Canis lupus familiaris: one gene and its partner. The protein of the gene in region 2 purifies or fractionates together with the protein of the main gene of each other region. This does not show direct contact. Links are inferred from orthologs where the notes say so. Each region holds a gene or a part of one and is shown on either strand. Other genes may lie near its edges.

The links. The genes of interacting proteins can lie anywhere in the genome.
Region 1: the proteins of THEMIS (region 2) and GRB2 purify together in Homo sapiens (co-immunoprecipitation; 6 studies listed by BioGRID and IntAct, counting the BioPlex papers as one, with this or other methods). This does not show direct contact. The link is inferred for Canis lupus familiaris from reciprocal best matches to the Homo sapiens genes THEMIS and GRB2.

Annotation. Positions count from the first base shown.
Region 1 is NC_049230.1:5,987,318-5,991,389, reverse strand, and holds the start of GRB2 (growth factor receptor-bound protein 2), read right to left. Parts: upstream 2,801-4,072; 5' UTR 2,649-2,800; intron 1-2,648. UniProt on the Homo sapiens protein: Non-enzymatic adapter protein that plays a pivotal role in precisely regulated signaling cascades from cell surface receptors to cellular responses, including signaling transduction and gene expression.
Region 2 is NC_049222.1:67,028,110-67,031,609, forward strand, and holds part of THEMIS (protein THEMIS), read right to left. Parts: intron 2,415-3,500; coding exon 1,956-2,414; intron 1-1,955.

The sequences.
Region 1 (4,072 bases), on a different chromosome or scaffold from region 2:
GAGCCTAATTTAAAATAAGATTCACAGGTAATTCTTTTTTTTTTTTTTTTAAGATTTTATTTATTTATTCATGAGAGAGAAAGAGGCAGAGACACAGGCAGAGAGAGAAGCAGGCTCGTAGCAGGGAGCCTGATGTGGGACTCGATCCCAGAACCCCGGGATCACGCCCTGAGCCAAAGGCAGATGCTCAACCTCCTGAGCCACCCAGGCATCCCAGATTCACAGGTAATTCTTAAGCATGCTAAATTTTAAGAATCACTGCTGTACTAGTAGAATGCCTTAACCAGATTTCAAACTTTGCATTCCAGATAATGCACTACAATGTCTTTGCATAAAATAAAAGTAATGCACATTCACTTGGCTCAACTAGGAAAAAGCCAACTTTAACAAATAAAACCAAGGGCTCTCAATAGCCTTTCAGTAGTGCTAGGAAAGTCTTTTGAACTAAGCAAGGAACTATTAATTTCTCTCAGGAGAGCATGGTACATCTCTATTCTGTATTAATTTCTCCAAAATCTATTATTATTTTGTTCTAGGCAACAATCAGAACTGCTGCTGCACAACAGGCAACATAACAGCAATTTCTCAAAAAAACTGCTAAGTACCATCAACTAGTAGTATTTAAAACCCAGCAATCCCTCAAATCTGAATACACTTGCTAAGGGAGTAAACTGCCTCAAGCACTTAAATGCTTGCTTTTAGTATCAAAGAAAGCCAATTACAAGAATTAACTTCGGTTTTTATTTTGGGAATTCAGAAAATTTTGGACAAAGGAAGGAGTAATGAAACAGTTATTTATATCGAAAAAACCCCAAGAACAGTAACAACGATGCCCCATTAGAAGAACCCTGGTAAAGAATCCAATTGCCACAATGGGCAAGTTGTTTTTTTTTTTAAATATTTTATTTTATTTATTCATGAGAGACACAGAGCGAGAGAGAGAGAGAGAGAGAGGCAGAGACACAGGCAGAGGAGAAGCAGGCTCCATGCAGGGAGCCCGATGTGGAACTCGATCCCAGGTCTACCAGGATCACGCCCTGGGCTGCAGGCAGCGCTAAACCGCTGCGCCACCGGGGCTGCCCAATGGGCAAGTTTTAATTCATCAGTGATCTAAAGAAATTCTATTCCCTTAAATATTTAATGTTATCTTAATTCTACTGTAACATAGGTCTAAGGTTGGTTTTCATTTTCTAACACACACCACTCCCACTAAAAGCCGAAAAAGAAGTCCTACAAACCCCAAATTGACCCAATCTTCCTTACTAGTATAAAAGAGACATAGGAAGAAAAGTGTAAGCAGGCACAAAAGCACAATGTTAAAATGAAGAGAACAACTAAAACACAAATAACACAAGCAAGCTACACTTGTGACCTAGTGGCAGTATTGATTACTTACGGATGAATTCAATCCTTTGAGCCTCCCAGTTCCCAGGGGGAGAACTTAAAGTCTCCCAAGGCTCTCTGGCAACTCTTCTGGCTGACTGAAGGAACACAGTGGACGCTTCAAAGTGAAGGATAAAGCAGGAAAAAGGGTATCTTCCCCGGAGAGAAAACGGAATCTTTAAATGAGGGAGAAGACAAACTGCACCAAAGGGCAGAAACCTTGAAAAATTATGCCAAAGAGGGGACAAAAAGGAGGAAGGGGAAGTAGATTAGAAGAAGGGGGGGAGGGATGAGCAAATGACTTGCATTACACAAGCAAACACTTAGTGTCCCCAGTGAAAATGGAGACAAGTAGGTAGAAAGGGAAGGCAACTACTGGAGAAGTATAAAGTGAGAGAGAGAGACAGGAAAGCCAAAGAGATATGCTATCTTCTTTCATGTGTCTTTTGGGCTCTTTTCTGAGTCAACAGTACCAAAAGACACAGGTCGAGTGCACTTCGGCTCCTCTGCAAATCGTACCTTTTGGAAGAACTCCCTAAACGAGCTGTTAACTCACGGGGCGTATATGGAGAGCGATGCAAATGAAAAATACCAGTGCCTTCCTTATCCTCTTGCACAGAAACCTTTCCTCGGAGCATTTCCAACCAACTGCTGCTTATTGTTCTTTACAAGTATTTTTCAGTGTAGTTTCAAAAAAACAAAAACAAAAAAACTAGACATCTCAGCTGGCTCCGGCAGCAAAAGTTCTAAATCACGGTATTCATAGGGTCGGTGGGCTCCCTCCCCAAATTCTGGCCCAAAGACACCGGGAGATGGTGACGTGGTGGCCGTGCAGGTCGCAAGAGCATCAATCACCACACTTGCAGCCGCGGCGAATCCCCCGCCTCCCGGGCCGGGCCGAGTCAGACTGACTCACAGAATGAGTACCCAGGGCTCCCGGGGTTCTCCCGGGCCCCTCTGCGCAAGCCGTCCCCCGAGAAAGCGTGAAACTTAAAGAGGCGCACCCGGCCTCCTGCCCCGAGCTAAGCTAAGGGAAGGACGGTCCCCAGGAAGGAAGCGCCCCAAAAAGGGAAATACGGAGCCCGGGGGACTCCGTTCTCCGCGCCAGGCCTCGTCGCCCCGACCCTGATCCCCAACCCTGGCAGCCCTCGGTAGACCGGGCCCGGTCCTCGCGGGCCACCTCCCGCTGCCGAGCAGGGGAGCAGCAGCACCGGAGCAGCAGCAGCGCCGCCGCCGCCGCCGCCGCCGCCGCCGCCCGTACTCACCGTGGCGCAGCAGCTCCGCTCCGCGCCCGGCCGACCCGTCTGCAGCGGTGCGAGCGGCCGCGGACCGCGCTGCTGCTCCCCGAGGGCAGCGCCTGCTCCCGCCGCCGTCGCCGCTTCAGTCTTCGTCGCAGCCGCCGCCGCCGCCGCCCGCTCGCTCGCTAGCAGCAGCAACACAGCCGCCTGGCTTCCGCTCCTCGTCGGGGTCCCGCGAGAACTTCCCCGCGCGGCCCCGCCCCGTCCCGCCTCGCCCCGCCCCCGCGAGACTTCCCCCGGCGGAAAAGGCCCAGAGCGCACGCGCTCCTCCTCGGCCGGGGCCCCGCAGGTAGCCGCCGTCTAGACGCCAGGGCGCCTGCGCCAGACCGCCCCGGAGCAGGTGGCACCCACGTGGCCCCGCCTCTGGGTCGCTGTAACCCTCTCTGTGCCAAGGAGGGTAGATGACAGCTGAGCCCTGAAGGAGCAACTCTTCATCACAGCCTAATCACTTCCCTTTTCCTGCCATCAAACCGAGGATTTTGCCGGGGGATGTCGGAATCTCCCTCTATCCTGAAGCGCTCCAAATAGAGGACCAGCTTTTGAAATGCTTGAGAATTCGGTCCAAACCGCACTGTTAGACGAATGAACATATTCTTCGCTCATGGGTCTAATCAAGTGCCTGATGTGTGCTAATCCTAGGCATAGGTATAGGTATACAGGTGTTGGGTAAAGAGGTACAATGATGAACAGGTATCTCGGCCCTCGAGGAAATCGAGGAAATCGCGGTCTACAGGAGCCGGAGAGGGAGGCTTGGCTGGCTCAGCGGTTGAGCATCTTTCTTTGGCTCAGGTCGTCATCCTTGAGTCCCTGAACCGAATCCCACATTGGGCTCCCTGCATGGAGCCTGCTTCTCTCTCTGCCTATGTTTCTGCCTCTGTGTGTGAATAATAATGAATAAATGAAATCTTATGAATAATAAATGAATAAATGAATAAATAAAATCTTAAAAAATGAATTGAATAAATCAAATCTTGAATAAATAAAATCTTAAAAATGAATTGAATAAATAAAATCTTGAATAAGTAAAATCTTTTAAAAAATTAGAGGAGCGGAAGAAAACAAAAAAATGCCATATGCAATGTTAGAATTATTTGGGAGAATGCTGAGGAAGCTAAAAAGATGGGAGGGAGAACTGCTACTCTGCCCATCTCAGAATAGCCTCCCAGAGAAGGTGATGATGATGTCTGAGCTGAGTCTTGGAGGACGAGTAGGAGTTCACTAGACGGAGCTGTCGGGGAAAGGCGCTTCGGGCGAAGGGAACCGCATGCCTGTACAAAGGAACGGAGGCGTGAGAGAGAGTCGTGTTCTGTGCGATGCTAAGTTGTTCGATTCCTGTGTGAGGCGGGTGAGAACGGGGGAGCAGCAGATGAGGCTTGAAGAAGTAACTCCTA
Region 2 (3,500 bases):
ATTTAGTAAACCGTATCATCATCCAACTAGATCAAGCCAGAAGCCTGGGATCAGGTTGGCTTTTTTCTTCCTTCCCATAGACTTCCAAATCTTGCTGGTTGTACTTCTTAAATACCCATTAGGAGCAAGAGTCCTGCTGATATCACTGTTGTATTAATCCCCAATAACCTGCCATAAACCCAATGGCCTCCTTACACTCCTTTGACCCTGTCCCTTCGACTGAAATCCTGTATTAATTTCCTCTTTTGACAAGTATTAACCCCTTAACATATATTTCAGTCTCTCCATGACTGATTCCACTACCCCGTTGCATGTTTTGATATTTGTCTCAACCTGTCCTCTCTTTTCTCATACCAGCTACGCTGGAGCTCCAATATCTTGCTTACTTGCCTTCCTGAAAACTGCTATCACTTCCTGCAATGTTGTGCTCTCTTTCTTTACCTGATAATCTTCTGTTCATCCTCCAGGTCTTAGTTTAAATGTCATTTCTTCAGAGAAGCCTTGTTGATCCCTAATCTAAATTCCTTAAATGCAGCAACCACCTTGTTCGCATGCTTAGGTTCTGGGTTGCTCTACATTTGCAGCTACATAATAGGAGATGACAATGATTTTTAAAAATTAACAAATTTTAAGATGAGAAAATGCGATATCCATTATTTACGAAAATTGAGGAAAATTCAATTATCAATTTCAATTACACATTTTGGGATAGCTAACAAAACACTAACGTGAGGTCTAAAATTTGCTGCAACTTCTGTTTTTTTGCCATATTAAAAAATGATCCTGCCGTGGCCTCAATTTTTTGCAGTAAGTATTAAAATATAATCACTGAGGAATTCCTTACCTGTAACTTTAATTCAGATAAATTAATTAATTTCTGGTTAAATTACTTACATGTAACAAAATTTAACATGTAGTTCTAAAACCTACACAAAGGTTCACATCAGACTTTTTTTCATATTTATGTAAGTGACCAACAGTATCTATGGGAGCAGAGATAAATAGAATTTGAGAGAGCCAAAAAAAATTTTTTTTGAGAGAGCCAAGAGATACCCTCTGACCAAACATTTTTGCATACTGCTTTTTTTCCTCCAGTGTATTATATTTAGTATCTTAATACAATCTTATTTCATTCTCAAAACAACCCTAAAAGGTAGGTAAAGAGCTGTCATCATCCCTTTTGCAAAGACACAGTTTAAATGGCTCAAAGTCACCACCCATTAAGTTATTGACTGAGAGTTAGAATCCAGGACTTTTGACTGCAAATGCAGAACTCTTTGCTCCATGGTTGCCCATTGATGTGCCATAATCTTGAAAACTCAAAATATTAATTCCTTTAGGGTAACAGTGCTCTCTCTGGCTATTCCTATTTTTAAATGCACACAATCCTATATAGGTTACATATTAAAACACACTTATGTGTCAATTAATTTGTCACATCATTTCCTGTAAGTCAGAGGGACTTCCAGCTAATAAGATCTATGACCAATGATGAGTAGCCGGCAGGGGGGGTGGGGGTGGGAAGCTATCACAAAAATAGCAGTAAGGGACATATTAGGAAACTATGTATCTTTATCACTTTGTTGACCACCTCCATACAAGAAAGACTCTTTCTAACCAAATAGGCTCTATCTTTAAAAGTAGCTCTTTTCTGACCATGTTTAACCAGCAGTGATAGAAATGACTTGGTAGGTTAACCTGTCTGCACCTGCCAATTACCGCAACTTGCATTTGGATAGCACCTCACAATTTACAGTACGTATTTATACGCATTATTCAATTTTATCCTTGTGCCAAATACATGGTTTACTTATTTATAGATCAGAATCTTACTCTCAGTGGGCTTAAAGGACAAGTCAGGGACAGGGTCGCATTCTTCAAACTCTAAAGCCTTCCTCTTTCCCAAATCCCACAGTGCTCACCCTCGTAGAACAACATTCTCAGTGGATACTTACATTTCATCACACCTTGAATTTCATAAACAGGCTTGAGAATCAGAGCACCATAAAAGCCTTTAGGGAATGGATTTGTTAAGTCCCACTTATTTGAAAAACCTGTAAGCTTCACAGTCCGTGTTCTGTTCTTGGGTATCTTCCATTCAACAATCTCCTTTAAGGTATAAATATGTTCATCTTCACACTCATAAAATTCTCCTTCTTGTGACAAAGGCAAAGTAAACGAGTGATTTTGGTGACTCCTTACCACTCCACAGTTCACCATGATTTCTCCACTGATCTCTTCAATCGAGTTGAGCATGATTTGCTCACCCTGCTTTATAGTGAGATTCTCTAGCTTTAGGTCCTTCTGATGATAGAAACAAGGATGCCCTAGTCTACTTGATCCAATATGAATGGTCCGTGTTATTTCTTCCATAGTGAGGTATGGAGTTTTATCAGCCACAATCTTAAAAAGACCTAAGAACAGAAGAATTATGTAAATTAAAGAGTTGTGAGTTACAAAACCAGTACAATGTAGCTTTTAAAAAGAAATATATTTGTTTTAATCCTGAATTCCTCTGGTTACCATGGTAATGTATCATTTGTAAATTACTGGATCATCAGATGGAAACAAGGGGAAAATACCTAGAAATAGAAAAGCCCCTGTTCTTGAAGTGGGAAATAAGAACGAGATCCTGACCTGCTGTATCCCGACTAGCTGTGTCATCTTGAGGAGGGCATTTAATCTCTCAAAATCACACTTTCTATCTTTAATTTTTAAATTAAGAGGATTGGATTAGATCAGTATTTCTATAACTATATTTTCTGGACATATTCTGGAAGATATTCTGGAAGAAAACTGTTTCATGGTCAAATTGGCAAGCACAAAGTTATCTACCTTGAAGGAGACGGTAGTGATGGTTATACAACATTGTGAATATAATTAATGATGCCAAATTGTACATTTTTAAATGGTAAATTTTATGCTATGTGTATTTTACCATAATAAGAAATACCTACATATTTCCAATTAAATACTTCTCAGAAAATTTAGATGCAGCACTGCTCACAAGAAGAGAATATAATGTGCAGGATTTTGCAAATTTGATTATAATAAAATTCTTGGGAAAACATCCATTGATAAATTACAGCATGCCATACCATAATATATTGGTGCTCCATATAACTCTCCTAGGAAAAGGCCAGGTTAGGTAGTTGTTCTGGATTGAATATTTTTGGTTATATATCATTCTTCTCATTGCTTCTCTAATTTTGCCAATTTTCACTATTGGAAAATTTTTCCTCTAATACTATTGGATAATCACTAATACAATTAATTTTTTTAAATTTTTTTTTAATTTATGATAGGCACACAGTGAGAGAGAGAGAGGCAGAGACACAGGCAGAGGGAGAAGCAGGCTCCATGCACCGGGAGCCCGACGTGGGACTCGATCCCGGGTCTCCAGGATCGCGCCCTGGGCCAAAGGCAGGCGCCAAACCGCCGCGCCACCCAGGGATCCCCAATTTTTTACTATTTAAGATATAGCTTTTTAGGCTTCTGTG